Linked DNA regions of Struthio camelus. The protein of the gene in region 2 interacts with the protein of the main gene of each other region in a pairwise test. Links are inferred from orthologs where the notes say so. Each region holds a gene or a part of one and is shown on either strand. Other genes may lie near its edges. The genes, in order: RALBP1 and GSE1.

Region 1 (15,375 bases), on a different chromosome or scaffold from region 2:
GGCAAATCTTCATCAAGACTACACGAAGAACTTAGCCTTTTTGTAAATTTTAGGTTTTTTTTCCCCAGAATTGGGAATCATAAATTCTGTTTTCCACCTCTGCCCCAGATTCGCTCTATACCCAGAGGGAAAGTTCATTTAAATATATATAAGCTCAGTAGATTATTAATTATGATGAACACTACCACCTCCAGGGCAGAGATGTTGCAAGCTTCTTGAATGCGAACACTGAAAACATTCACAAATACACAAGGCAAGGTGTTGCACCACCCAGCTTCAGGGTAGCAGCTGGTCTGCACAGTTTTCCTCTATAGTGAACGGCTAGAAAGTACGGAATCCACCCTCTGTGGTCAACAGAGGCTTTTTCAGGGGAAGCACAAGAGGATTACTCAGTTACATTATGTACTGACCCTACTGATTTCCCCCTTCAATTCTATTTCCATTACTTATCAAGAATGTTCTGCGTCAGCAAAAGATAAGTAGAGTTTTATACAGCTTGTATGTCTGATTTGAGGTTGTTTGTTTTTCCTCACATTAAAGATAATATAAGTAAAAGAATTCTACATCTTAAGTTACCGTGTAGAATTCACTTAACCTTCACAGACAGAAAAAGGAGGCTGGGACTTCCTAGTAGAAAGGTTGCGAGGAAGAACTTGGAAACAAAGTTTGGAGAGAAAGCATTAAGCTGAGGTACTTTTGGTTGCTATTTCATTTCCTAACAAAAGAAATAAAACTAAAGATGGACAAAAAGTGTATGATGCTTACTTTGGAAGGATTTGGGTATCATTTAACAAGTGATGAACTGATATAGCAGCAGTACCCTACAAACAACCAGAAGTTCACAATATTTAACCTTATGCCAATTTACATCGCAACACAGCCTTACAAGGAAATTTATGTGAAACATCAGCTTTCTACAAAAAATGTATAAATATCTTAAGAATTTCAGATTAAGTTCACGTACATTTCCCAAATCAAGCTTTAAGTCATCATGTAGCCCAATGCAGCAATTTTTGGTAATCTTATGGCTTCAAAGCAAAACATCATTAGAAAAAAACCCATCCATATGCTATGAAATGCACAACAATTACTTTTATCAATTTAATTACTAAAATAATAAAAACAAATGAAATAATAACACAGATAGACATTAAAACTGTGTATGATCTGCCTGTGGCCAAAAAGCTCAGTACTGGACATCACAGGACCCAGCAAGTTTTGACTACCATTCCCAAATCTGTTTTGCAGCCTTGTCTACACAAGGAGAGTCAAGCTGTTTTTAACAAAATTAGTGCAATTAATTTAACAGAAGCCCTAGAATATCTAGAACAAAATAGTTTTGTTCTAGACACATGAATGATTCCAGGAATAACCCAGGTATCAGTGTAATTAAATGTTAAAAACACGCCTCTGTAACAAAAGCAGAGATGCAAAACAGTTGGGGATGGAAGGCACCTCTGAAGACCATTTGGTCCAACAGCCCCTGCTCAAGCAGGCTCAGCTAGAGCAGGTTGCCCAGGACCCTGTCCAGGCAGGTTCTGAATAGCTCCAAGGATGGAGACTCCACAGCCTCTCTGGGCAGCCTCTTCCAACGTTCAAACATCCTCACAGCAAAACAGTGTTTTCTCGTGTTCAGGTGAAGTGTCCAGTGTTTCAGCCTCTGCCCATTGCTTCTCGTCCTGTCGCTGGGCACCACTGAGGAGAGTTTGGCCCCCCGGCCAACACCATCCATTACTTCCTTATTTGACTGTTGATCGTTCTCTCCCTCTCCTGTCATTCCTAGTTTAAAGCCCTCTTTGCCAGGTTGGCCAGCCTGCTGGCAAGATAATCTGACTGTTGTAATGATACACACTAACTGCAAACTTCTATGACATATGCTTCCGTATGTTTTAGATGCGTTCAAAGTCAGACTGAAAAAGCATTCATAAAGAACTCGCAACCTAAGATAAAGTCAAACCACAATAGAAAAATTAACATCAGGTCCTCACAAAACTGTCAACATGCAAAAGGAATATTACAGGTAACGACATTAAAACTTCTCAGGGTGTTTTTTTTTTTTTTTGGTAGAGAATACAAATCTTGGCATAGTCTAAGACATTTGCGATATAGTTACTTCCAAAAAATTAGCTGTCCCAATTCACTTTGTCAAGGAACTTTGATCTGAATCCACATCTCAGTGTGAGAGTTGCATTAATTTACTGAACCACACCGACAACAAAATAAGAACTCTGTATATTCAACACTTCCTCTTTCATTTTGAAAGTTGCACTTCATTTCCCCCAACAACTTCTAAATCATTTTCAAAATAAGACAGATGAAAACCACTTGATTGCAGGGTTTGGGTTATATGAATTTTGGAGAACTACAAACTCAAATTTTCAGGATTAAAATTTCAGAAGCATCACCCTTCTTCTGTGAAAGATCATCCTATCTGATGTTAGCTTACAGTAGTACAACACCTAAACAAATTGTAAAGATTAAAACATCTAAAGAACAAGAAAAGTTGAAATCACTAGGCTGAAATAATCCAAAGAGTTTCTGGGTAAATCTATTCCATTGGATGTTTCTTCTGTAAGATCTTATATTTTTGGTCTATTCAATAAATTAAAAAGAAAATAATAATATTCATGAAGAGCTCTTTAGCCTATCTTAAAATTATAGTATCACTTCTCAAGCAACCACTACCAAAAATTTTTTAGAAGAGTAAGGGAGCAAACAAAAGAATACCTTTTTCTCATGTCCAGTTAAAACAAGATATTTCAGATTTTGTAAAGACTGGCATTATGCCTGTATATCAGCTGGTTCACAATATTAAAATATATTGGAGTTGGATTATTACAAATATAGGAAAATGTCTGACAACTAAATTGTCTTTCATCAAGCTTTCTTAAACAAAGATACTCAATAATAATTAAAAGTACCGTATTGCAAAAAGGAAAAAATAAGCAGGAACTATGGATTTCCAAAGTAATACGATGGAAAAACTCTACTAACACCATGAAACGAGAGCTTCATTGCTGGAGTGTTTAATTTTAGAATTTTCAATTTCCATTCAACAGAATTTATGCTAATAACAGCCAGTGAAAAATTTTTTTCACTGTAGCATACCACAAATTTCTGTTTTTTGAGTGGAGATGTTCATATTTAAAAACACATATGGGTGGGCTAGAACTGTTAAAAAAAGCAATCAGTCTAATTACAAGGATAAGTTAAATGTTAAAGTTCACAAGAACGATTACAGCAAGAGACATAAAATTACAGTTTCTTGCTCTTATGTGTAACTCCTATTCTAAAAAGTTAGGTATGGTTTTAAAGAGAACTGAAGTTCTTCCAGAAGTCTTAATTCAATTTTTGTGAAAAAGGGAAGCGGTAATTTTTTGTCATTGTGATAGCTCTTTTTCCACAGTAAACAGTACTACTGTAATATATTGTGTTTTTAAAAAAAAAACATTTATCCAGCTCAAGGCCTGGTAGCACCACAGGACTATGTGCAGTCCGATGAATTCCTTCCCACCGGATGTCTTTCTTCTAGCAAGAAGCTCAATTATTCTCTATACAAAAGCCCAGTGATCCCACTGAAACTGTGAAAGAGGTAGCAAGCTTCATACGCTGACTTAACCTAGATCATATACACAGAAACACGAGAGATTTCATATTATAGAGGACAAAAGTGAAACCTTCCTGTATTTTATATGAACTGCTTATGTTTATGAACACATGTTCATATGTTTATATTTATGTTCATATATGAACTGACTTGAGCGAACAGTTATTCACATCTTATCTATAAAACAGTCACCTTAAAACTAAATTTATTCTACTTACAATAATTTCCAGTTTGGTTCAAACTTGCATTCTGATTCAGAATTTCAAACCTTGGCACAGACTTACTCCTCATGCTTCCTCTGTAACAGCCATCTGGCCTCTTCCCACCTCATGCAAGCAGCCATCACTCTTCCCTTTCTTTCCTTTTATGTCTCCAGAGACTAAAATAGCCAGTCTAAAAAAGCTCAACATCTTGTGAGCAAGAAAGATAATAGGGAAGGCAGTGTGGAAAGGAGAAATCTGCTGCTACTAGTGCCAAAGCTGCCCCTTTGAAGTAGAGGTCAGCAACTACAGTTAGGCAAAAGCACATTCCCCAGCAGATACAATAGTGCATCTCTACACACACATACATTGTCTTCCTCAGCTTTGTACTTTGCATTGGGTTGTACTTGGTGAGAATCATTAAACCATCCCCTGTTTCCTCCAGGAAAGGCAGTGACCTGGATAGAAGCAAGCCAAGGATTGCCTACAGGGTCACACCATAAATTCATCTGTAACAGTAAAAACTCTAATCCTACTTTTTAAGAACTCTCCTACTGGAATTGATTGCTTAGGGTCTGCATTTCTTTCTCGTTTTCTCAGCACTTAAAACAAAAAGACAGACGATTAATGGTAATTATTAGGGGCAGGCCAGTGAGGATGCAGCGACTTAAATCACTTTTTTCAATCATTATTATATCAGAACCGTTACCTGATTTAATTCTGCACATAAAAAGCAGCAACACTGAATTTGATTATTTAAAACTCAATATAACATTGTCTCTACTAACCTCTTTTTTAACTGGGATGTATACCATAGTCATCCATTCAAGCTGTTAAATAGCTCCCTACACTTATTCAGATCGACATAACTATTATTTGGTGAGCACTCTTTTATTAGACTATTAGTTGCTTATTTTTTATTCAGTGTATTATGTTAAGATGCTTCTGGAACAAACTGGGAATTGCTGAAGAATATAAACGCTTACTATCTGTATTTTTGTTTGCTCAGTGTTATCTAAGCAACATAAGGAAAAAATACCAAACCACGTCCTCTATTTAAACATGTCTTCTTTACTTACCAAAGTAGTTCACTACTAGTAGGTGGTGAACTGACAGCTCTTAAACATTACCATCTCACATTTTTGAATTAGGAGATGTCAGTCTCCCATACCTACTTGAAATTCATAGGTTAGGCAAGAAAAATATGCCTTCCCCCTTTTCATTGCACAAGTAATAATAAATGAAACCAAGAACGTGAATTACATTTCTCAAGTGTTTTTGTTCAGCCATATTTTATACAGGTATTAACTTTTTTGATCTTCCTAACAAAATATCTAAAGCACTGAAGCCACTATACTTTAATTATTATAATCTTTTCTGCAATTTTTTCCCTACCAGTTCAAAAACTGTCACAATACTTTCTTTATGAATCCTACATAAAACAATTTTGCCTAGTACACTACCTAGTGAGAACACCATAAACTACGCTTTGACTGGATCACCAGTCCTACCCTCACTTAAGCAATTATATATATTGCTCCCCATAGCCCTTTCTAGCAACTTCTCCATGTAAACTGCCACCCCCTCCTTTCAACTAGCTTCTGCGGTATGTGCCCATCTACTACAGCCTAAAGAAAAGCGTGCGTGGTGGTGGTGGTGGTGGTGCTACTCAACGTACGAGATGAAGGCGTGCTGGAGGGCTCTTTCACTCCATAGTCCCCTCACAGCTTCAACTAACTGTGTATTTGCTGAAGCCATGCTCAACAGGGTTGATGGGCTGCCAGGGGGAGGATATGCAGGGAAGGGAAAAGAGTCATACCCTTCCTTTTTCCAAAAGCAACCTGCACGCTCACCTTTCTGGTTTGGGCCACGGCAGGCGGGAGAGAACTGCTATTTGGACAGTAATCATCTTTCAACACCATCCAGTTGGGCGATGCAGCCTAAGTGCAGGACTCCCCCAGGCTATATCCAGCCCAAAGGCAGGATCTTCTCTTTTTGATCAACGATTTCCGAACTATGGTGTCCAAGGTACCGGTGAACAGAACAACTGATGGATTCTTCAGGTGAAAGTCTGAAGTAGGCACATGGTGAACCACGGCTAGTTTTAAGGGTAGCGAGTGATTCACTGGTTCAAAATATTCTTAGACGCATTAGTCCAGAGTAAAGCTTAGTAGGTTATACTAACCATACAGTTAAATGAAGAAATAAGTCATACTATATTTTGACATTTAGATACCAGTTACATGACATCAACTTTTAAAGAAGGAAAATAAGTTTGCATTTGTCCGTATTTTTACACGGCAGCGTTGTTCATATCAGTCTGAAATAGCTTGTCAGAAACAGCACTGTTTACTCAGAAAACATCTAAGCCTTTGTTGTAAGAAAATACAGACAAATCATACTAGGGAAGTGCCTAGAAGATACGACTAAGATCACAATCCTAAAGTGTTAACATACAGTACACATGCACATCACTTTTGCTTTAACTACACCTACAGAACTAAGCAATACAGCACTGAAGCGATAATACAGTTATTGCAATACAAAGACAACATATTCCAGTATGGACATGCACATACAGGGAGGGAAATAAGCTACGCGATACAAGAAATCTTTCTACTGCATCTAAGTACAACTGCACCAGTGGTTTTACAAGTGAAAATTTTACAAACAACAAATAAAAAAACACCCCAAAACAAAATCCTCCAGCCCCACAAAGAAAAAAACCACATTTAATTAAGAAAGAATGATGCCAGAATTGCAGTTGAATTCTTAAAAGTCTGAAGCAGCTATTCCAATCTTCTATTTCCATTTCAGATACAGCAAAACTAAAGAACAGAAATTATTTTCCCAGAGTGATAGAGAAGAGATCCCTAGAACAGGAAACTTACAGTTCCCTGCTCTTCCATAATAAACACCCTACTATGGACATAATTACCTACAATATTACAGCATATTTTCAGCACATTTCAAACACCTCGAAGTAATAAACATTCAAAAACATAACTGTTCGGAAGCTTTTCTTCCCCACTTTTTACTCCTCTGCAGAAAAGAGCCCTCCACGAGTACGTGCCACACTGATTGCATAGGACTATATCAAAATGAATTATAAGTTGTTGTATGGCATCATTCATCAGAAGTTGCATGCAACATTTCAAATTATATCAAAAATGAAATCAAATGGACTCTTTAAAATTTGGTAATAAAGTCATATCTATCTACAATCAGACCAAACATAGCCTTAATATCACCCTTGAATTACACTGCATTACAGCGATGTTGAACATTTACAATAGTAGGTGCTTCAAGAGCTTTCCAGGTGAGAAATAGATGTGAGAAGGCAAATATTGCTGTTTTGCTATACTGGAACAAAAGACTTGCACAAATCCATCTATTTTATGCAACTTGTAAAAAGGTCCTAGCCAGTTATTCCTGATTGTTATTCTTCGTTGAGGATGACCATAAACCTTAGGGACAACAGAAAACAAACTGAAACCAAAACATTCTCGGGAAGAGATACTTTCAAATTATCACTGTGGTTTCTTGGTATTTTCATTATGGTTTGTCTTAAGATACTTAAGCGCTTAAGGGAAGAGCTACTTTTTTACTCATGTATGATGCAATGGTACATGATGTACACATTTTCTAAACAACATCATGAGGCAAGCAAACACAGCATGCTTGGACCTTGCTGAGCATACTAGGTGCAAAACTATAATGATGTCAATGAGAGTAAGAGTTTTCTACTTTTAAAGATGTAACCTCCAGCTGAAGGTAAATGAATAATAATAAAAAAAAAAAACTCATAGAAACCGAGGATGTAACCTAGAACACCTCTAATCTCAGCCTGAGCGACAGCAAATCTGACACATGCTTTGGAGCATGAGATTAAGGTAATAAGAAAATACGGCACAGGAGGAGCCTGACATCCACCCAGGGATGCACAATGCTCATTCTCATTAAGGACACGAGCGAAAAGAATGTCATCAGAGAAAGCCTAAGGACCAGATCCCTCTCCTGAGCAGTAAGACAGGAGACAAGACAGGGCTGGGACACATGGTCTCCGTCCCCAGCACTACCCCGCTCCTCCACTGGGGCACGCACGCCCAGCAGCTCAGCCGCCTTACCCCAGAGCTCTCAAGGGGGAAGCCCCCAGCCGGGGACCGACCACCCCTCCCTCCCCCCGCCGGCGGGGACGGCTCCTCGGGCAGCGCAGCCCACGCTGCTGCCCTCCGGACCGGCCAGGTGAGAAGGCGGCGTCTGCGGGCAGGGAAGAGCCGGCGACCCCGCCGCCCCTCACCCGGGGCGCCTGCCGGCTGGGGAGGCCTTGAGGCTGCCCCTCCCTCCCCCCCCGGGCGGCCGTTGCCGGGGGCGGGGGCAGGCTCCCCGCCACTCGTTATCCCCCCACCAGCCCGGAAGTGGCTTCCTCCTCGCCCTTCACCGGGAAACGAAGGCGGCCGGGCTGGAGGCTCCCGCCTCCGCCCCCCTTCCCTCCCCCCATCGGAGCACTAACCGTCGGGGTCCGGCTCGCCGGCGCGGCGGCTCCGCCTCGGCCTCACGCGCGGGGCCCCGCCTCGTGCCCCATTCCGCCTCCGCCGCCCGGCCCGCAAGGACGGCTCAGCAGCGGCGCGAGCTTCCCCAGCGCGCATGCGCCGCCGCCGCCACCTCCTCCGCGGCGCGGGGCAGAGGCTCGCGCAGGCGCAAAGCTGCCCAGGCCGGAGGCGGGGGGAGCCAGCGCGGGGGGGGGGGGGGAGAAGTAGGGCGCGTGCGCTGTAGCGTTGGGGGAAGGGCGCCGGGCCCGCGCGGGGACACCACCCCGGAAGAGGCGCTCTGCGCACGCGCAATAGGAGGGCGGGGAGACGAGACGGGGCAGGGAAGGAGACGCCCGTCATGTCCCTCCCCTGCCGCGCTTCCCCCGGGCGGGCGGGGCTTGCCGGGTATTGTAGTTCCCTCGGCGGAACCCAGGGGAAGGGGTAGCCGGTCGCTTTGCGGGCGTCGGACTACAACTCCCAGCGACCTCGCGGGGTGGAAGGCGGCAGCCGCGTGTTAGGCGGCTTCGAGGTTCGAGGCGCGGCCGTGCTGTCGGCCTCGCTCGTTCTTCAACTCCCGCGAGCGCTGCGCTGAGGGAGCGCAGGCTGTTGCGGGGGCACAAGAGGCTCCTGCCTCGATGGCTTTCCGGCCCTCGTCGGTCGTGGGGGCTGCCGTGCTCTGTGGTGCAGGACCCTGGCCTGCGGCAGCTGTGGGCCCTGCCGGGGGAGAGAGCTCCTCTGGCAAGCAGCCGGTGGCGTCCTGGGAGGGAGGCGGAAGGCCGAGGTTCACCTGGAAGCCCTGCGACCGGGGTGCGAGGGGAGCTGGTCCCAGCTGCAGGCAGCGAGGCACTTTGGGGCCAAGGGCTGAGTGGAGCACCGCTGAAGGGGGTCCCCGGAGTGACCCCTTCAGCACTCTTGTTTCAATGACGGAAAAACTTCATAAAGTTCACCGAAGGCGCCCTAACCAGACAGGAACAAAAATCTGCTTCTTTGAGCAGTTTTACGAGAAACATAAGCATTGGGAACGATTCATCAAGTAGTCTACGACTAAACCTGTTGTGAGATAAACCCCTTAAAATTTTTAACAGTGGAAAGTCAACAAACGTTGAAAGACACGGAACACAAATGCAAGAGCTGACACAGCTCTGTAGCTGTTTACATCCAGCCTGCTTTCTCAATAACATTGCTATCGACTTCCATGTTTACAATGCAAAAGAGAGCAGCCATCTACTTTGGCTTCATCTTGTGCAACAGATTTGAGCTTGCATCATTACCAGTTTGTCTTTGTGGCATACAAGAAATTGGAGAAATACTCTGTGACTCGAGGAGGTGATCTGTGCCAAGAAACACATCTCCAGCTCAACTCGCATCCTGTTTATAGTGATATTAAAAGAATTTTGTATTCTTTGTCTCTTACCATACAAGTTTCTGATTATGTTAAGCACCTGCATATCTTGAATCCTTTTCAGGATTCCTAATCAACAAGGGAATTTGTTCCAGTAAGAAGCAGACCAGTTCATTCCCACAGCCTCAAACATAATCCCTAAGCTATTGGACACATTAATACTGTGGCAGTGTGCCACCTGCTTCGTTTATTCACTTGAGATTCAATGCTCCTTAGTCCTTGTCAAATGGGTTCTTTGTGCAACCTTCTGTGGTAATGTAAAAGGTCCCCCACAGGAATTTGTGCTATTCAGTAGAAAATACAAAAGGGAGGGTTGTAAACACTCTGATTAGTGTTGGAGCACAGAGATATTGTCTCCACAGCATATTACATAATCATGCAACTCTCAGTTTCCCTCCTCCCTCCCAGAAGGAACAGTTTAAAGGCAAGTACTTACTGTTTTATTTAACTTAACATCACAGCTAATGGTTTTTGTTACACAAAGGCTGTATTATTTTTGGCAAAAGGAGGGAATGGTTTCTTTAGTAACATCTATAGTAATTTGAGATGATTGCCTGTAAGGGTCTCCACTTGAAGTGATAGTCACTAGAGGCTCTCAACTCCAAAGAGTAAGTAGTATCAGAGGCTGTTGTTAACATAAGCTCACAAACACTAGGCCCATCAGCTGATAAACAGAGAATGAATCTTCCTCCATTTTTTGCTGAAAACAAACAAGTAATTGTGTGCAGTACTGGACCAGCTTGCTGCCATATGAAATACAATTGGGTAATTTTAAACTTCAGAAACCTCATTGTGGTCCGAGGCCTGCTTACGCAGACTGAGACACATTCTTACGCCCTACACCTCCTTACATTCACTCTTCATAAATTCTTGCTGTTTTAAGGACAAAGTCAAGCAAGGATTCTAAGATGACAAACTCTCTGCTTTGAAATTCAGTCTTGCTTCTGTACCTGAGCCTCATAAATGTTACAAAATAATAATGGAGTGGTGGTCTAGAAAGCATTTTAGAAAAAAAGGAAAAAAAGCAGAGCTGTGTAAGCTGTGACTGCTTCAAGAAAGCCAGTTTTGGGTTAAGTTTGTCTTTTTATTAGTGAAAGATAGTGGGTACATCTTCTATTTGGCAGTCTGAAATAGTGCCTGAGAAACCATTTTAATATCTCAACTTCCAGGTTTACTCAAAGTTAAAAAAAAACCTCCTTTAGTCCATGTAGTTACATCTGCTGGTACCACAGATGGACTCCCTATGACACTGAGCACTGTCCTTCTTGCTCATAAAACTGAAAGAGCTATGTATGAAGTGGTAAATAATAGATATCTTCCAGAGATCAATTCAACTTCATGACTAAAGGCCAAAGGGAGCACAGTCATTTTATTATAGACACCTCCAACTTTCCTTTGTTGACCAAGCACATATTTGAATTGAGAGGATATCATAATGGAAGACTTGTTTCCATAAAGATGAGGAAAGTCTGTGTGTGGCAGAACTGGAAAGAAGAAGGGCCTGCTCCCCCTATGGCCCTCTCTTTCTTTCACTCCTGTCTGCACAGCAACTTCTTTTGAATGGGGAGAGGACACGATGAGAAGTGTTCACTCAAAACCCTTTGAGAGATGGGAGTCTAAATGGGCTGTACTATTCTGTGATAACTTTAGCACATTAGATTCTATTAAATTGTCTACCCTGGTGGGCAAACCACAGGTAGACACACTGCTTAATTCTCATCAGCCATAAAGAAATACACAGCAGTCATAAAGAGGTATAGCTGATGAAAGACACTGGCCGGCCACATATGAAAACATGCATGCAAAACAATGACAGCTTGAATACACCAAGGAAAGTGCAGAAGAAATAGATTAGTTAAAATCTTCAAAAAGCTAAGTTATTCATAGGAAGTATCACATAACAGGAGAGAACAGAGCCAGAAGAGCGATATGATAAAAAATCAGTTCGCTATACTGAGCTCTGCCTTTACAACTCCAATTAGCACTACGGAATCACACTATTCGCAGATCTTTGTTGTAAGAAGAAAATTTAAAAAGACATATGCAGTGAAAGGATATTAAAAAACTGGACCTTGGCAGCCTTCTTAGCTAGATTTGTTTGAAAAAGACTTTGTTCCTTCCAATGTCTTGTTTCTAAGTATACTTTAACTACATAGTACTTGGTCAAACAGATCACGCCAAGAACTCATCCATCAACACTGTCGCACCTAGTGGGAAATCTCAGGACAAGCTTTTTTTTTTTTTTTTTTTTTTTTTTAAACCCCAATAGACATTATAATCACTAATATGTTAGGTTATGTGATAAAAGACTTGTTGACGCAAGCACGAAAGAGCACTGAGGCACGATGGCAGGTGGGGGAATCACAATAAACCAGTCAGAGAAAGGAGCCCTGGGGCCAGGGGGACCCTTAACCATGAGGAGCAGCTCTGTGAGAGAGAGCGTCTGCTGGGGGCGTGGGACTCGGTATGGCCTGCAGGGAGGACTGTCTAGGGGTTGTACAAAAATTCCTATATGATGTTTAGGAGGAGGACCACAGGAGGGGAGAAGGAGGGATCAAAGTGGTTTGGGGAGGAACAAGTGTGGGAAAATAGTGGGATAAGGAGATAAAAGGGGCTGGACAGGTGCAAACAGGTTGCACTACGCTTGTCTGGCCATGCCCTGTGCCTCACCACCACTCTGTCCTGTCTGCTCCATAAATTCTATTTCTAGCTCTCTTCCTGTGTGAGGGGGCTCTATTCAGTGTGTGCATGGAGGCCTGAGTGCCACCACAGCGGGGCCACGAGTCACAGGGGCTGCGTGTCTCTCGAGTGCCACACTTCAGACACCGGAGCGTGTGCATATGGTGTGGGTCTGCACGTTGGCGTGTGATTGTGAGCCAACGTCAAGCCGGACTAGCCGGTGGCAGGGTAAGTGGCTTGGGAAGGCAGACAGAAACCAGAGGAACTGCGAGTTGGCTACCGGAGGCACCAGGATGTCCAAGTCAACTACTGGGGAGACAGCAGGTCCGGGGGTTGATTGATAGACCCATTTGTATGGCAACTAGAAACAAGAGGATCCAGGGCCAGCTACAGGCTTGACTGAGCATCTAAGGCCAATTACCAAGAGGATCTGGAGCATGTGAGTGTGCCTGTGCAGGTGTTGGTGTGTGCGAGTGGGGTTGAGGGCCTTGACCTGCCCAGGTGCCAGCAACTGGGGACACCTGGGAGCCAGGACCAGTTACTAGGCAGAATGAGCATCCAAGGCCAGCTACTGCAGAATCCATACTATGTGTATATGTATATAGATTTCCCATAATGGACCTTCATCCTGAAGCAGGGAACAGGATGAGGCTGTTGGTGCCATTCGTGTAACTGCTGAGTGCTTCTGTCTGTGTTGGTCACTGTGGCCGGCTGTGTGCATGTGTTGTATACGTGTGTTTACGTGTATGCCTACTGGGAACATGTGCTCAGCCTTGCTGCTGGCTGGACATGGGAACCTGGAACTGTGGCAGCCTCGCCTCTTATCAGGTTATCAGTTTTGGCACACCTCTTAACATAGTAACGCGTCCAGAAAAAAACAACAGGAAGTGACTGTGAGCAGGCCAGTCGCTGAATGAACTAGTGGCTGTTATTAGAAATATGAGCAGGTGCCCTCATAACCATTTTTGAAATACCAGATATAAAATCTACTGGATTTATTAAAAGCATGCTAGGAAGCCTAAGAAATCCCATGAAATCAATGTCACATTATGACCATATCACTCACTCACCCTCTCTGCAGGGCATCGGTTCTTCTGAAATCTGGGAGCAACAAGTGCCTGTGAGAAAAAACACTTCAGTACGACAGCTGCAAAAAAGCGTCAGGAAGGTGAGTTTCCAGATTTACAAAGCTCACATCCTCAAAGAACTGTTATGCCCTGACAAAGACTGACAGGAACTTCAGAATCCCTTAGTACACTTTCTCTGATGTGCAGTGGCATTGTTTCTGGGCTCACAGAATCAAAATACAGGCACTATAGCCTACCTCTGCTGTTGTACCTTGGTATAATTTTGGGAGCAGCCAGTGAGGTACATCAGTGTGAATCAGCCAAAAGGCTGATCCTAGGAGTTAGAGAAAGCATGCCTGAGATGCATCGATTGCATTAAGGTCTCTCTATTTCCAATTTCATGCTGCCGTCTGTGAAGACTTAGCCCAGCAACTAGTGTTCCAGGAAAGGTGACTTTTCTTCTTTTCCTCCTAGGCCTTAACAAAGAACCTGTCCTAAAGGTGTTCTAATTCACAGCAGCTGAAAAAAGAGTCTACACTGCACTCTGCTTTGTACTTCTGCTAGAGATCTCATCATCCTCTGATCAGTATGGCTTCAGTCTTAATGGCAAGAAGGGCAGGACGGCCTGCAACTAGAGGAATTGCCTGTAGTTCCCTCCAGTTCCCATCATGTTGTCACAGCAGCCTGCTGGGAGGGCCAGGTGCTGTCCTAGGCTGTCTTCTATGCCTCTGATTTCATTCTACAGTGACAACTGAGTTAATTCCCTTTTGTATTACATCACTATTTCCAGAATGACATGCATTTCTGAAGTTTTCAGAATGCAAAGGTGAAGGAACTAGAACTTTTTATGTATTTCTCTACTTTTAGGGAAAGAATAACAAAAGGCATTCAACCCCTTCTCAGACAGAACCCCAACAGACTGCAGAGATTTGTGTAATTCCCTATTACAGGCACTCCCTTTTTTGCTTCCCTTTACGTTTAGTGATTTCCAATTGTGTCAGGAAGGATAGTGATAAAAAACTGACCAATGCTTTACTTAGATAAGATTCTAGCTGAAAGTTTTTTAAGCATGTCCTTAAGTTATTTAAAGCGCATATGCAGGTGATGGTTTGCTCATCTCCAGGCCTAAGCACAATAAGAGCCCCAAAAATAACTTACGATTTTCCTTGCAACATGAATTAGGACTAAATGCACAACCGTCCAAAATGATTAATTCCTCTCAGAAAAATCTTTTTCACTATTAAGCAAGTTCTTCTTTACTGATTTATCTGAAGGAAAAACTATTAAGAGCCGACGACAATTTTAGATTCGGAAGAGACTACTATAAAAAGGTAAAAATTCTCTGTGTTATTCTATCAGTCCAGAACAGTAACAATGGTCCTTTTATAATATGCTTCCTAGTAACTTTTGCTCTGAGAAAATCATGAGAAGGAAACCACATAGACCAATGTCTTTTTATTAAAATACCTCTTAAAACACTCGTAATAATAAAATACGTTTGATGTTGCTGTATGACGTTTGCATACATACAACGCTTACAGCAAACTCTAAACAGCATCGAGAATTACAAAAATAAGGCAAGCCTCAGAAAGTGTGCATCCTCACTACCTACTTTCAGGCCCATTACACAAAGTTATCAAATTTTGAAGCTGTTTCCCCACAATTTTTCCTGGACATTTATTAGAAGAGTCTCTTCTACCCTCCAGTTATCCACCCACGCTATTCCTTTGACTTGACATCATAGTGAAATCATAATGATGTAAATGAATATTGTGTCACAGATCCATGGCAGCAGGCTCCTATCCAGAAACACCAGCCCTGTTTTTTCCCCAAGAAGATTTTGAACTATGATTTTATTTCAGTTGTTTCAAGTCGTCTAACACTGCAA
Region 2 (16,423 bases):
AGTTTGTGGCCCAAAAGCAAGGAGCCAAATCCCCAGTTGGGCTAACGACACCGCTGCTGAGCGGCAAACGCAGCCCGACTTCTCCCCGGCCACTTCCCACGGAGGGGCACAGGGATGTCCGGACTCGGCGCTGCAAGGCTGTTGCTATTACAGAGGACACTCAAGAAGCAATCACATGCATGTCCCTTAGTGCCTCGTCTTCTTCGGGCAAGTATTTCCCCCCTATTTCCAGCCTAGGGCAGAGCCACGCACAAAGGAGCCCGATTCTGGTATCGGGTGCTCAGCATCGCCGCGTCCACCAGAGCGGCTCCCGGATCTACACCGCTGCAAAGCCCAAAGCAGGTATAACCCCTGCGCAATGAGAACCATGTGTTCTCCGCAAAGTGCTAACGTGACACAGAAAACTAATTGGTTGCAGATCAAGAAGGGAAAAGCCTCAGCTTCAATTGGGCCAAACGCTTGGAGCAACAAGCCCAGGTTTTAGCCCAGATCTGAACCCTTCTCCTTGAACAGATGGACTTCTCCTCCAGAGGACACCTGCATGCGTCATTAGCTAGAGGAGACAAAACGCCTCCGCGCCGCCACTGCACAACACCGAGAAACCTGTCGAGGGCAAGGATGCGGGGATGGAGATCAGACAGCAAAGCCTGCAGTGAGGTCTGGGCGCTGCTGAGGAGAGAGGTCACCAGCTGCAAATTCAGTGAGTCACCAAGCAGCATCTGAAGGTAGCAAGAACAGCCTGACTTGAGATACAGCAGGATTTCAGAGCAGTCCAGAAATGCGAACATGCTTGCAAAAAGTTGCATTTAAAAAAAAAAAAAAAAACGCAGATGCCTCTTAGGGGTGTGTCACTGCAGTGAAAGGGTGGCAATCAAACATGGGAAAACAAGGGAAGCCAGGGGAGGATTTTCCCTGTTTAAATCTTGGCAGAGAGAAAGGATTTGAGCAACCACAGAAAGCTCCAGACGAATCGAGCGCGAGCATCCCCTTGACCCGCGAGTGCAAGTACAGAGGCGACGCAGCATGCTGGCACTGCAGTCACTTAGATAAGGGAAGGAAGACACGGATCCATGATTTTAGAGCCCTCTTTAGCAAAGTGACTGTTTGGGAAGCCCGTCGGCACCGTTTCCAGACACCGTTCAGCCTGAAAAGAGGAAAATTTGCTTGCTTATTCAGAGGAGAGGGAGTCACGACATGCCAGCGCTTAGCTGGGGCGAGCGGGCAGGCTGCGCCCGGCTGCCGAGCTGCCCGGGGATTTCTGCAGGGCTGCAGCATCCGCTGCGTGACGGGCTGGCACGCGCGGCAAAGGGACGAGACCTGCTTCGGTCAGCGACAACACGGAGAACAATCGATCCCGCTGCCAGCGCCGGCGAGCCAAACTCGCTTTTCCCATGCACAACTCCCCTCCCTCCCCCGGCACGTCCGGAGGCCGGAGCCCCGCTCCCCGGACGGAGGGCGGCTGCGCGCTCCCGAGCGTGGCCGGCTGCTCCGGAGGAGGACGTGCCTTTGCCTGGGTGCACAGCACGGGTGCGCGCACCAGCGGCGGAGGCACGGCACGCAGCGCGGTGACCCTGGCACGACGTAAGCCCCGCAGCCAGCAACGGGCTGCCTCTGCTAGCTAGCAAAAAGGTTTGCGGTCTGCAGCTCTGCCAGCAAAAGCAGATGCAAACGATGCCCCAAAAGCAACTGCTGGGTTACACCCTGCTCTAGCAACACGCTGCTCCAGCAGTGAGGTGCCCAGCAGCTCTGCCAGGGGCTTACTCGGGTTCAAGGCAGAGCCCGGACCGGCTCTGCGCAGCCTGCATGCTATCGGTTTTAAAAACTGGATCCAAACATAGCCCAAGTCACATATGCACACGATTGCCCCCCTCCTGCTGCGTCCGAGGCGTTTACAGCTTGCTACGGGAGGGACACAGCCTACACCTGCTCCCCTCCTTTGATCCCAGCCACGGGGCCACCAGCTACGCAACCCTTACCAGAACAGAAACCAGGGACGCAAAGTTGCGGTTTTACGGCACGTTATAATTTTTCCCCATGCTCCACCTGTCTTTAACCTCTCACTGCTCCAGGGGCCATAACTACCTCTCTCCATTTCAGAGGCCTAACAACCCTATCACCTCTCCCCTCCCAAGCAGGTCCCTCCGGTTCAGCAATGCTAAGTGTCCTTCTCTCACAGACGCTTTGATGGACGCGTTTTATGGTTTCCACAGTGCAATTGCCCTCGACACCTGCTGAGCTCAGAGCTCGCTGCCTCTAGCCCCAACGCCCCGGGGAGCGGCAGCGCTGCTAGGTCAGGACGTGGCGCGAACCAGGGGCAACGTTCTCCATCCTTCCCGCGACCCGCAGACCCTGCTCTCGCCCTGCTTTCCCCTGGTGAGAGTTCACGGCAGCACGTGTTCACGCTCCCGATAGCTCTCCCCAGCCTGCGGTCCGCTGTCGGGGCCGCACAGCCTTGCTTCGCCCTGCCTCCGTTTTCTGCGAGAAAACCTGGCAGCACCCAGAGAGGGACGAGGCACGCAGCCCACAGACAAGGGCCCCAAGTGTCTGGCTGCCTCTCTGCGGAGCTGGCCAACCTCCCTGTCTGCTAGCAAAAGAGGTGAAAAGCCCAAACCCACCCGCACAAGCCCGCAACAGCCAGATTTCTGCAGCAGCTCCTCTCCCAGGCGGCCACAGCGCTGCCCAGCATTGCTCCTGCTCGCGGCACGCCAGCGAGGAGCACGGAAACCACCCCGGCAAGGAGCTTACCTCAAAAGCCCTCCCGCGCCGGCCAGGACCGCAGGCAGCCGATCCCACCTCTGCAGAGAGCACAGCACGACCTCTCTGCTCCTCGACACCCAAACCTGCAGCTGAGCCGCCACCGCACCTAAAAACACCTGAGCATCATCCATGCTAACGAGCTGCAGCAGTTGTTTCCCCTCGTTAGCTGCTCAAAGCTGTTTTGTAAATTCCCGAGGAGCATGCTGCTGCTGCTGCCCAGCTGAAGGGAAGGCTGTGCCATGGCAGTTGGTGCATTTGCCCAGCACCCTGGCACGGGGTCTGAGCCCTAAACTTTGAGCTAACTGGCTTTGGCTCAGCTGCAGACCCGGCCGCGGCAAACCACCCCCTCCGCGTGCAGGGGGCTGTCCGCCCCGAGCGTGTGAAAGAAATACCTGCGTTCCAAAAATAAAACTGCAGAGCTGCAAAGGAAGAACAGGGTGATGGGTTTAACCCATCCCCTCCTGCCCAGTCCGGTTTTAATGGGCACCGCGGCAGAGCAGAAGCGCGAAAGGCTTTGCACCAAGGGTTAGAGGCTCGTCCCGGTGACTTCCAGCAGCAAGTGCCACTGAACGAGAATATAGCTGAGCGGGAGAATAGGCTTCTCCCATTAGTTAAATTAGCCAAATGCCCTACCAGCTCATTAAGCCATGTTTTAAATAAACTTGACATTGGGGTGGTCTCAGCCTGATGGGAAGCGGGTAAGGACAAGGGAGGCAAAGGGCAAGAAGACCTTGTGGCCACCAAGAGAGTCGCCACCGGGACGCAGGAGAGCAGCACGAAACGAAACGGTGCCTGGACCGGCCGTGCCCTCCCCGAGCGACTCGCCGGCGAGCCGCTCCGCGACGACTCCTGCCGCGTGGCGCCCATCGGAGCGGCCCCTTAATTTGCTCATTAGCAAACTCGGGAACAAGAGCGAGGAATTCAATAGTCTCCCTCCTCGGCCCCCGATGCCCTCCTCCTCCTCCGCCACCGCTCGCATCCCCACACAAAGGCTTTTCAGAGCCGGCCGAGGTTGAGGCAGGACCACGGGCGAGAGCCCAAGGGGACGCTTCTCCATCGCCGCTCCCGGGGCGGATCCGACAGGGCGGCCGGGAGCAGCACCGGGGCAGCGGGAGCTCGTGTCCCCGGCCCCGCTGCCGGCTTTCGCAGGGGGCCGGGGCCGGTCCCGGATTAACGAGCTGGACCTGGGAGCATCACGGGATGTCTGCGAAACGCACAGCTCCGGGGTGGCAGCTCGCGACGCCGCAGGAAGCACACCCGAGCGTCCGCCGCTGACGCCCGCGCGATGATGGACGCGCTCGGAAATAGTTCGCCTGTCAGTAACACACCCCAGCAACACCTGTTCCCTGGCCAACACCGCAAACTACCCTTTGGCCTGGTGACACTTCCAAGGGCGGAAGCGTGACACGGGCTGGGGACAGGGACCGGGCAGCCAGAGGGGACGCAGCCGGCCGCGGGGCGACCCTGCAACCTTCGCCTCGGCGCTCTGGTGGAAGAGGAGGCCTTTAAACTCGTACCGACCTCCTTGCGGGGGTCGCGATGCCCGGGGTCCCCGCGCGCGCGGGATTTCCCGAAGGACGGCTCCGCACGTCCGTCTCTCCGTATGCCCCGCGGGAGCGACGGGTAACAAGCGCCAGCGGCCCCGAGGAGGGAGCCCGCCAGCGCCCCGCTGCAGCGCGGGGATGCTCGCGGCCCCGCGGCCGCTGCGGCGCGCACAGCGAGTTGCACGCGTTGGAAGCGGGCTCCCCACGCAGCCCAGCCTGCGAATAAATCACCCGCCCGCGTTCATGAATGACCTGCATTGATGTCAGGTCAGACTGGCTGGGACTGATGCGGCAAGGGAGCGCCCGGGGGAAACCGTTTGAAAGCAACGGCTTCCGGACGGTTCCCGTCTCCGGTGCCAGCCCAACCTCCCGCCGGCGCCGCGCGCCGACCCCCCGCCTCGCGCGGCTCTGCCCCGGCGGGCCAGCAGGCGAGCCACGAGCCCGCAGCCAGCACGACGGTCAGAAAACTGCATTTGCAAGCGGCCCGGAGAGAGGAGGGGTGAGGGGGGCGAAAAGGAGCGCCTGCCTCAGAAGGGCTGTTTCGCATTTCTAAAGAAAACGCCAGCGCTTGAGAGAGCCACGGGGTTCTGGCTATGGGCAGAGTCGAAAGACTTTGAAAGCGAGCTTAGGGATTTTGGAGGCTGCTATTTTATGAAGCCCAGTCCGGGGCCTGCTTTGCAGATACAGAGCATCCGCTCTCCAAGAGCTGCGCCGCTGCCAGTCGGAAATCTGGGGACAAAAGCAGTAATTTCCCCGTTTCATGAGAAAGACAAACTTGCTGTGAGTAAATTTTCTTTGCTCTTTTGTACGACTTTCCACATACCCGCCTCGAAGCATGCCATGTAACCCAGCTCAGGGCTTGTCCGCACCGGGATGCGCAGCAAAGAATAACCCGTAACATAAATCAGACGCGACCGGGTGACACTGAACTGACCACTGAGTCTGGACAAGACCATCCACATAGAACTGAAGGAAATTAAACCTGTCCGCTTTAAATTCTGCTTTTTCGAACATACGGATCAACTTGAAGGAGGCAGGAGGAACTACTCTCTCCTACAGATAAGGAGCACGGAGCAATCGAGAGCCCGTGTCCCTGGGTCCCCAGCCCTGCATCCAGAGGACACATCTCATCGCTGGCTTCGGATGAGCAGAGGCTCAGGCAGGCTCGGCGGCGCCGCGGGAAGCTGCCCCGGGCTCCCCTCCCGCAGCCGCACAACGGCAGCCCGGAGCGGCTCAGGGAGCCCGCACACCAGCTTCCCAGCTGCAGGAAGGACTCGAGTTTCTCCTAAAGGAAACCGTTTCGCTCGGGCGCCTTATAAAACCAAAGATAACTTGGGAACTTTCCTCCACGGCGGAGGCGCCGCGCTCCTTTGGCCGGAGGAATTTCCCGAGGATCCCGTCTGCCGCGGGCAGGCCGGCCAGCGCTGCTGGCAGGGCACAGGGGCCTGTCAGACTTCCCCCTGCTCTGGCAACTATTATTATCCACGATTGAGAGAGGTACAAGATCAGGATTTCCCATTCTGGCCACCTCGAATCACAAACAACCCCACCTCCTTTATCCAGGGCTCTAAAAGAGCTGGCGCCAGTAATACAGATACGTGTTTTTGCAACAGGACAGATCTTGGCTCTCTTGAGCCTCTTGGAAGGATTTCTCTCCACTCCTTTTCGGTTTGATGGCTCCAGAAGTTCCTTGCTAACAGCACCCCATTTATTAACATTCGCCCCCAGGGATCCGACTCAAAAGATGAGCATCCATCTGTAGCACCGCTCTAAATTGTACTTGATGCCAAAATCATCATGTCCGGGAAACGACGGGAGGAGAGGGAAGGGGCCCGGGCCAAACGCCTTACCTTGGGGAGAAGAGCCGGGGGCGCTGCTGCCAGAAGCTCTGGGGGCGTCATGGTCTTGCCAGCCAGGACCACGGCTCCGCACTCGGCACACGCGCCGATGGTCAGCTGCTTCCCGTCATCCACCAGCAAGCTGTTGGCCACGCGGAGCGTGTAGAGGAACACAGGGAGCCTGGCAACTTGCACCGCTTTTAATCCAAGGCATCGCTTCTTCTCCTGGCGGCAGAAGAAGCAGACGAACGTCTCCACTTTGTACTGCCGGGACCAGGCGCTGCTGGGGTGGTGGGAATTCCTGCCCTCGTGCTGCAGCCACTGCCCGAGCAGGTCGTGGTAGCAGAGCACGCAGGTGGCCACGAGCCCCGTGGAGTCCGCCGGCCTGGCCCGAGGGGCGGGCGGGTAGACCGTGAGGAAGGGGAAAAAGGGCTCCTTCTCGCCAAAGCGCCCCGGCGGGTTGACGTTGAGCTGGAACTCCTTGCCGGCTCCCAGCTCGGCCCCGCAGATGTAGCAGACCGATGTAGGGCCAGGCTTGATGACGGGGTGCCCGGGCAGGCCGCTGGGGTCACCGGCGGAGAAGACCTGGTGGTACCTCCCCAGGAAGCTCTGCACCGAGGTGATGAGCTCCTCGTTGTGGCAGGCCCTGTACATGGCCCACAGGTCCTGCAAGACGCCGTAGCACTTCCGGCAGCTGCTCACCTCCCAGTGCTTGTTCAGCCCCTTGGCGCTGGGCGGGCAAGGCAGGAGGCTGAGGAAGGGGAAATGCATGGTGCTCTTGGCATTCCCGTTGGTGATCTTGGCGGCCACCAGCCTCGCCTCTTTGCCGCACTCCTCCCCGCAGAGGTAGCAGGCCTCGGGCGCCGGGGCTGGGCCTGCCCCGTCCTCCTTGAGCCCTCGCCTGCCCTTGGGGGGCATGCCTGCGGCACCGCCGTTGAGGGGCACCACGTAGAGCCGCTGGAGCACGGGCACGTTGGCCAGCTCGAAGCTTTGCCACTGCTGCATGAGGGAGGCGAAGCAGCAGGGGCACACCAGGGTGCTGCCGGCGGGGGACAGGGGCTGGGCGCCCGGCGGGGGGCTGTGCAGCCAGAGGAAGGGGAAGAAGGGCGCCTGCGACGTCTTCTCCTGCTTCTGCACGTGGACCCGGTGCTGCGAGGCGGGCGACAGGGGGCTGCCGCAGATGTAGCAGACGGTGCCCGCCGCCGGCGCGGCCCAAGCGGGCCGCTCGCCTTCCTCCTCCTCCTCCTCGCTGGTGATGTTGATCTCGCTGTCCTCGGAGGAGCAGCACGGCAGCCCCCGCTTGCCCGGTGGCGGCGGCGGCGGCGGTGGCGGGGGGGGCCGCGCCGCGCCGCCCGCCCCCTCGGGCTCCGACAGCGGCTCGGCGTCGGACAGCTCGGAGAGCTCGGAGCCCGCCGCCGGCTCTTCCTCCTCCTCCTCCTCCTCCTCGCCCTCCTCCTCCTCCTCGCCGTCCCCGGCGGCGCGGCGCGGCGCGGCGGCGGGGTCCCAGCCCGGCGCCCCCCGCCGCAGCCCGGCGCCCCCCCCCGCCGCCGCCGCCGCCTCGCACTGGTGGGGCCGCTTGAGCCAGTACATGCGCTTCTCCACGGGCGTGCGGCTCCGCTCGAAGGAGTCCCACTGCTCGCCGAGGAAGCAGCGGCAGACGGCGCAGACCAGGGCGCAACCCTCCGCCGAGACGGCGCGGGCGCCGGGCGCCGGCTCCTGGTGCTGCAGGAAGGGGAAGAAGGGCCGGTGGTCGCGGGGGGGCCGCACTTGCAGCTTGAGCTCCTTGCCGCGGCTGATGCCGCCGCCGCAGATGAAGCAGCAGAGCGGCGGCGCCGGGGGCTGCGGTGCCCCGGGGCCGCCCGCCGCCGCCGCGCCGCCCTCGCCGGCCGCCAGCGCGGCCATCAGCCGCTGCTTGCGGGAGAGCGGCGCCGCCGCCGCCGCCCCCGGCCCCGCCGCGCTCATCGCCGCCCCCGGCTCATCCCGCGGCTCCGCCGGACACGCAGGCTCGGGGGGCGGGTTTGCAACGCTGCTTCTCTCCCCCCCCCCCCCGCCTCTCCGCCCCGCCGCGCCCGCCCCCGCCCGCCTCCCGCTCCTCCGCGGAGGAAAAGGGAAAAAAAAAAAAGAGAGAGAAAGGAAAAAAAAAAAATAGAGAGAGAGAGAAAAAGTTCGCTGCGAGAAAGTTTGGGTCCGGCGGCGGGCGCGGAGCGAGCAGGCAAGCAGGCGAGCAGCCGCCGCCGCCCCGCGCTGGCCCCGCCGGCGGGCGGCCCCGGCGCCCCCGGCCCGGCTCCTCCCCGGCCCCGGCCCCCCCCCGCGCCGGGCTCGCCTGCCCGGGGGGAGGCGGCCGGCCGGGACGGAGCCGCAGTTGCGGTTAGGCGGCCGCCAGGCTCCGGCAGCCTCGGCGGGAGGGGAGCGCACAGCGTGGGGGGGGGGCGGGGGGGGGACAGACCGGCCCCACGGAGCGAGGGGGGTGGGAAGGGGAGTGCATTGTGCAAACCGGCCCCACGGCGGCGGGGGATTGTGCCAACCGACCCCACGAGGGGAATTTACCCCCGACCCCGCGAGGGGAACTTGGGGACAGACCGACCCCGCGAGGGGCATTGGCAAAGCCCCCCCGCCCCCCGAGCGGGGCTACCCACGCACGGCGGGTGACCTCCCTCACGCACATCCCCTTGCAAACCCCCTGCCCCTGAACCAGCACAAAAAGGCAACTGCAGCTGGCAGCGTCCGGGACTGCGCGGTCAGCAGGGATCCTGTGGCGCTTTGCAGAAGACACCAATAATGTCTCTGTCCTTTACAGTGCTGCGCACCAGACATTAACTCAGTGTCCTGACCGAATACCAGCCCCGGTGATTTATTTCACATTTAAAAGTCCTGCTGCTGTTCCAGTTCAATACCAGATTCTATTTCCCGCTTGGTCCTAAAATGCTGCATCGGTTTGCCACTCACTGGTAAATAGCTGATCTGTTCCCAGCCAGGGCTGGCCGCATTTCAGCGATGCATGCAATAATCCCTGTATAGCCTTACCTGCCTTGCAGCCTATGATAAGATTTAATGCTTGTAAAGCACTTTGCTGTCCTTGGACAATCGGCACCGCGGAAGTGCAAACTGTGCTGAGGTCCAGCCACAATTAAACCTGGCTTATTAACCACCCAAGCATCCAGTCAGCATACCCACAGGCTCAGCAGAGGTCTCCCAATAAAAAATAGGTATTATCAGCCATAAGGATATTTTCAAGCAGTCGTTTTAGGAGGAAGCCTGCTCCTGATGGTATTTTTGAGTTCATGGTTCGCTCCAACCCCCGCCCGGTCCTGTTCTTGTAAAGCACTGAGCATGTGCCTGTCTCACTGAAGGGTGCTGAGGACCTTCCAGGATCAAACCCAAAGTATGTAAGGGCCAAGTAGGAGGCAAAGTCAATAATTGTGATAGGACACAGGGAGAGAGGGGCTGCGAGAGGCCCCTCAGCTGGGGTGAGCGTTACGGGACCGAGCTCCGAACACGTGAGCCGTGCATCGGCACACCGGGCCGAGCGCAGAGACGCCGCGTGAGGCCGCGTCAACCGTGTCACTGCGCTGCGGCCGGACCGAGACCTCCACCAGCTCGGCCCTGCGGGGCTCAGCCAGCCCTTGATGTCACCTCCGTCCTCGGCTGCCGGTGACAGCGTAACGCGCTGCCCAGCAACTGGCCATGAGATCAAGCAGATTGCGTGACATCAGCTGGAGCGCGAGCAGGGGGCAGAAGGACTCTCCGGGGCTGGAGATCCAGTTTCCACGCAGATGGCTCCAGCAGGACAGAAAAGGGGGGGGTAGGGAGGGGGGGGAGACGCACAAAGCGGAGAACACGATACCTTGGGCGAGCTGGGACTTTTGCAGGGTTTTCCAGAAGACAGCAGGGCCTCGTTGTATTTTATTTATTTATAGGCCTGATGTTGTAGCTGCTCTATGCACGGAGGGCGTTGGGAGCGTGTTGGAGTGGACATGACTCACATGTTCTCTAAAGGTGCATATGGCAGCGCTTCAGAGCCTCTCGGCGCTGCCCCTTTCCCTGGACGCGTCGCGGCCAGGAACGCAGCTTGTTTCCTTCCAGTCCTATTTGATGCACCACAGTGGTAATCCGAGATTTTTTTTTTTCCCTCCCAGAAGAGCAGAATTAGGCAGCAGGGCGAGGGCAAGAAAGGAACCGGCCCTATCTGTACAGGCTGGGATTTCCCCGCCGCCGTCACAAGCCCCGGCTCGGCTCGGGGAACAAGGAGAGGCGAGGGATCACCCTGCCCTCCGCCGCAGCACGGCCCGGCTGTGCGTCACGGCAGGATGAGGCCGTGCTGCGTGAGGCTGGGGTCCCTGCAGGAAGAAGCCAGCCGAAGCCTGCACGGTTGCACCCCGCGAGCATCCCAGCCTGGAGCAGACCCTCGCGGAGAGGCCGGCAGATGCTCTCCCGCCTGCTCCGCAGATGGGCGAGGAAGCGGCACGGCCCGTTCACGCAGCAGCGCTGGAGCCCACCTCCCCACCCGGCCCCCAACGCCGGCCCGCCGCTGGGCTCGCCCCCCACCGCCGCCGGCCCCTGCTCCCCGCCGGCACGCAGCCTGCCTCCGGGCGGCTTCCCGGGCCGCGGCTGCGCTTGCACAGAGCGGCTCATTTATCATTCTGCGCCGCCTCGGCCCTGCGGTCGTCGTTTGCAACGGAGAGGCTGGGAGGGAGAGCGCGTTTCTCAAGTCGGCCTCGGCAAGAACTGAAAACATATGCCGTGGCGGCGAAGGCGTCCCCCGGGGGCGCGCGGCGAGCCGGGCGAGCCTAGCGCAGGATTTTCTGCCGCGGCTCCCTCTGCGCCAGACTGGTGCGTTAAAGCGAGCTGGGGGGGCTGGGGACGGCGGCGAGGTCCGCTCCACCGAGCGCCCCCGGGCTGGACGGCTGCAGGGGCGAAACCGCTGCAACGGAGGCAGGCGGCCTTGGCCGTCCCACCTGAAACCTCCTTTCCGGTTTGCAATGCAGGCACCAAACACCCGTCGCGCAACGGCGAACCCCGCCGGCGTCCCTCGGAGGGCAGGGGAGAGCCTCCACGTGACCCGATTGCATCAGGGCTGCGAGCCCAGAGCCTGTTGTGCAAGGCGCTGCACGAACGGCCTCCCGCACCCTGCCCGGCTGCGCTAGACCCAGCGCCAGCCCCAGCCCCACAGCGCTCCTCGGCATTGCATCAGTCCAGAGCCCCAGCTGGGGACCGGGACCCGGACCCGGACCCAGACCCAGACCCAGACCCGGACCCAGTCCTGGTCCCATCCACACACAGCAGTCCTCACCAGCGCTGCACTCTGGCAAATGGGCACATGCTGCAGATCCCCCATCTCCAGGCTCGGGAGGTTAATATGGAAATTACCAACTGCTTATTCTTTCCAGCTGTTGCTGTGAGTCATCAAGTGCCTTAAAGAGCATTTCAAACAACACAGTGCCTTCGAGACAGCGTGACTGTTCCCCCAGCCACCCCCTCGGGATAATCCTCCCCGGGGTCTGCTGCTCGAAAAGGGAATGTTTCTCCGAGGAGTCAGCTCCCAGCCGTGCATTAGCTGGGCAGGCAGAGCAGGCGCCCCTAGGTGCGCGCGGGCTCCCGCCGCCCTGCGTCCCCGCGGCTCCCCGGAGCGATGCTGCCGGAGGGAGAGCTCCACCGGGAACAGCCCTGCGCGCGGCCGGCTCCCCCCCAGTGCCCTGCTCTGCCGCCCGTCGCTGGCGTCTGGCCTTTTCCTGCAAATCCCACCCGGAAATCTGTCCCCAGCAGCTGGGGGTCGGACCGTGCGAGGGGCACCGGGGACAGAGCCCGTTTCTCAGCTCACGCCTGCTCGAGCGGCGCTGGCTGGGGGGCTGCGAGCCTGCATGCTCGCCGCGCACCCCCCCCCCCAGCATTTTGCTGCTCCGCTATGTGAAATGATTTGCTGCCAAACCCGCTCGCGGGCCGGGGAAGCTCTGCCAGGGGGGTCGCGTGGCCGGGCCCCAAACCCCAAGTCGGCGCGGCACAGGAAGCAATTGCACGGCCGCGGCGGGTTATCCTCTCGCCCCCCGAAAGCGAGGCACGGGCCGGCGGCCCGAGCGCCGCCCCGTCCCCTGCCCGGCACGAGGCTGGCAGCGCCGGGACCGCGGGGACTGGCCTGCAGTTCGGCGACCTTGAACTCAGTGCGAAACAGCTGTATTTTTCTCTGCAAGCTGTGCTTTTTTTTTTTTTTTTTTTTTAAAGGCTGATCTATGCACTCGTTTTGTGCTTGTTTTTCAGATGGGAAAGATAGGGCTGGTTCATGGCAACGTTCAGAACGTATCCTTTGGCTGACAATTTTTGGAGGGTCTCAAATGAGTTTTTTAATTAAAGTTTTTTTCAACCATTCTCCTGGAAAAGCCCAGACAGCTTTTCTCCTCTTTGTCAGCGTTTTCTCATCCCCCCCCCAAAAAAAAAAAACACACACACAGAGAGGGGTGCACGATGGAGTTCCCCCTGCCAAAAACAGAAGAAATTTAGAGAACAAAAAAACAGAGGGAAAGCTTTCACTGGAAAACAAGAGCATTTCACGCGCGCACCAGCCCACGCAAAGGGAGCTGAGTCTGGGAGGGGGCCGGGCAGCCAGGCAGAGCGATGGCAACGGCTGGCGGTGGCCCCAGCCGGAGCAGGGCACCTGCCACCGCGTCCCCGTCGCGCTTGGCCCCCGGGCGCCGGGATGGGCTGGTGGTGGGGACAGCCCTCGGGTCCGTCCCCGTGCCTCCGGAGCCGGCCGGGCACCGCTGCCGGGACGCGATGCTGCGGAGCCGGAGCGGCTCAGCTCGGCTCGGCTCGGCTCTGCGCAGCCCTTCTGGAGACGCTGCGCAAACAGGAAAAAAAAAAAATGATTCCTGCTCCTGTAACAGCCAGAGGACAAACGGGAGCCGGGGAGGCTGTTCAGCGCCAGCTCAGCTCCCGGCCCCGCAGTCACACCTCCAGCTGGGGACAGCTGCGTGGGCGCACGTGTGTGCGTGCATGCGTGTGCGCATGTGTGCGTGCATGCGTGTGTGCACGCCTAAATGTGAAAGCAAAGTGGAGCTCCAGCATCTTAGACACACCTGCGGGTCCCCCCATGGGTCTCTGTCAGGTTTAACCTTCTCACCACCCGTCTCAGCTCACCCCCATGCAGCCCACCTTGCAGCTGGCCAGCGCCGGTTGCTGGTGTATTTTTGGGAAGGGGCTCCAACGGGCCACGGCAAAGATGCCCTCTCTGGCATCACGGGGCCGGACTGGGGCTGCAAGAGAGGAAAACCCAGAGGACGAGTTCTCCAGGGCCCAATCCCGCCCGTACCACCCTGGCTCCCAGCGCCGGCCCAGCCCGCCCGTCGGCTCCTTCCCGCTCGCAGGGGGGGAGCGACGGCCCCGGGCGAAGCCCCGCGGGCTGGTGGGCAGCGCTCGCGCAGAGCCCGGCTCCTGCCGGCGGCGAGGCGGTGATTCACGGCGTGGCACCGTTCCCTGCGAGGCAGGAGGGAGCCACATTCCCCCAGCACGGCACCAGGGCTGGGTTGCTTTTTTTTTTTTTTTTAAAAAAAAAAAGGTTGTTTTTTTTTTTCCTTTCCAGAACGAGCTGCTCTGCAAATGCCAAGTGCTGATGCCAAAGGGCCGTGTCAACAAAGAAGAATGAGTGTGGCTGTTAGAGGCTGCTATTAAAAAAGGGTGGAGAAGAGGGGGAGGGAGGGGGAAGAAAAGGTTTGTAAGTGCAAATATTAACATTTACAAAGCAGTTAAAATTTGGGAGCACCAGCCGAGCCCCTGCATCGCCCGGGGTGGGATCGGGGCGAGCGAGGAGTCTGCAGCCCGTGTCCTTCCCGCGCGCAGCCCTGGGGCATGCCCACCTCCCAGGGACTTGGCACCTTCCCCGCCGGGATCTCGGAGGGTTTTCTGAGCCCTGCGAGCATCTCCCTCCCCGCGGCGGCTGGAGCCCTGCCGGAGAGGGTGGCCTGCGCTGCTCCAGCTCAGCTGCGGGGCTGCTGCCGCGGCAGCCCAGGAGCGCCGAGCCCCGGAGCCGAGCAGGGGCTCCGGTGCGGGGTTTCACCGAGACTCGGGCGCAGGGAGAGGAGCTGGAGAGGGGCCAGCCCTGGCTGGAGGAGTCCTCTGCGGCGCTCCCCTCCCGGAGGAAACCGGCAGCCGTTTGCCCGACCGCACGCCAGGCTGCCATATGCTCGAGCTTCCCTTCCTCGCTGTCTTTGCCCAGCCTGGCAATCGTGCCTGGGCAGCGGCGGGGGGTGCTGAGCTGGGCTGCGCGGGGCTGCAGGGCCACCCGGGCACCCCCAGGACCTCCCCACGGACCCCCCCGTGCACGGACCAAGGCGCCCCGGTGCATTGAGCTTGCTGGAGCAGGGCTGGGGGCTCGCCTTTCCCGGCAGCGGGAGCAGCCCCCGGCACCGCAGCGAGCCCGGGCGACGTCTTGCTGCATGAGCACCGGGAGCTATTTCTAGGCGATCACCGGCCGTGGCCCAGCGGGGCAAGAGGAAAGGCGGCCTCTCGCCTGACGCCGAAGATGCAACGGGAAGACGCGGTCTCTGGTTTCAGCTTTCTATTCCCGGCCCGTTATTCACGGGTCGAAGATGCCAGCTGCCCTCTCCTGCCCGGCTCGGGGTCGCTGGCACCCGCGGGGGCCGGGCACGCGGCGGCGGCTCGCGCTGCCCGCGGCCAGCGGCGCTACGCTGCTTTGCACCGGCGCAGGGCTTGGCCGCCGGCACCCGGCACGTTTTTCACGAGAGGAGCTGGCCCACGGCAAGCTTTTAAGTCAGCCCTTTCCTCCCAGCCAGAGGAGCCCGGGGAGCGAGGCGCCCTCGACCCAGCGGGCGCAGGCGGAGGCTTCGGCTCGTGCCCGGCCGAAAACCCCTGTCGGCTCTGCCGATCGGCGGCTATCTGCTGCCGGGGGCGGTGAGCCCGAGCAGGCCCGCGTAGTGCAGCATGGGAACGTGCAACACGAGACGCGTAAACATGGAGAGATAAACAAAGGGCAAAGCCTCCTCCAGGATGCCGCTCGAAAAGGGGGGAAAGTTCGGGGTTAGCACCAGCGTTTGCTCAATTCTGACTTGTACACGTTTTCTGGCTGGCTGTTTTTAAAGTGCGTTTTCGGCTTGCATTATCCCTTTTTATGCTTTTCTACCGGAGCGCGCTCCGTGAGTTTCAGAACGGTGATTCTTTGGTGTCTGTGCAAGAAGAAATGTGGTAGGAGGAGGCTAAACCTCCTCGCAAGGCCCCGTTTGGATGTATTCCCCCCCCCCGCACACACACACACACAAAAGAAAAATTTCATCAAAATTGAGATGTTCCCACAGAAATCGGCATTTCCCGATGGAAAAACACTCCATCAGCAGAACGCTGACCCGCTCCGGTTACAGGCTGGTCACGGTGATGAGGCAACGCAGCTGGGAAAGGAATTAAAAGGGAGCTGGGAAGCTGCGGGGCGGCCAGGCCCGGTTCGCCGGTGTCTGGCTGCCGCTCGCCCGGCCGCCAGCGGGCCAAGCGCCCGGGGCGGCCAGCGCGGCCGAGGCGCCGGAGCATCCTCCGCGGCCCCGGCTCCCGCGGCCCACCGCAGCCCAGCGCTGCTCATCCGTGGCTCCGACGAGCCAAGGGTACCAGCTGTCCCCAAGGACGAGCTCGCCAAGCAAGCCGGCGGCTGCCAGCGCGCCCCGCCTGCTCCCGTTATTGGGAACATCTTGCGGGATTTAGCGAACCGGCGAGAGCAGATTAGCAGGCCAAGGGCTCGCGAGCTCAGCAGGTTCCCTGCCGGGGCCGGAGATCAAGGTCTGCTGCCGGTGTCTTATCTGCAAGAATTGGTGGAAGTGCTTGTTTGTAAGGTTCTCCTTTGCCTTCGCTTGGCCAAGTGATGGACGGGTTTTGTTTTGCTGCTGTTTTTTTTAAGGCAGCCTGGAAAATACAGGATGCCTCCTTGCAGAAGGAATCAGGTATCGATCGTCCCTTCCCAGCCCGACTGGTGAGGAAGGAAATTCATGCGTTGGAAAGATTTTGCGCGGGGCAGCTGTGCCGAAGCGCCCCTCGGGTACCCGCCGGCCTCGGTGCGTGGGAAGGGGCAGAGCCGCCCGCCTGGGGAGCACTGGGCACAACGGGGACGTTGGGCTGGACCCAGGTCGCCTCCTGCTTTCTGGAGCCGGCAGGGAAAAGCGGGCTGGAAACGCGCAGGGTTCGCCTGCGGCAATGTCACCTTCCCGGGGAGGAGTCGAGCCTGGATGGCTCCCTTTGCCTTCCGCTAAAAGCAGCCGTCGCGGAGGGATGCGCTCGCCCCGCTGGAGTCAGCAGAGA

What was found.
Region 1: the proteins of GSE1 (region 2) and RALBP1 interact in binary tests that used the Homo sapiens proteins (3 or more experiments, as listed by UniProt). The link is inferred for Struthio camelus from reciprocal best matches to the Homo sapiens genes GSE1 and RALBP1.

What each region holds. Positions count from the first base shown.
Region 1 is NC_090943.1:116,293,217-116,308,591, forward strand, and holds the start of RALBP1 (ralA-binding protein 1), read right to left. Parts: upstream 8,531-15,375; 5' UTR 8,321-8,530; intron 1-8,320. UniProt on the Homo sapiens protein: Multifunctional protein that functions as a downstream effector of RALA and RALB. As a GTPase-activating protein/GAP can inactivate CDC42 and RAC1 by stimulating their GTPase activity.
Region 2 is NC_090951.1:3,435,192-3,451,614, reverse strand, and holds the start of GSE1 (genetic suppressor element 1), read right to left. Parts: upstream 8,102-16,423; coding exon 6,152-8,101; intron 1-6,151.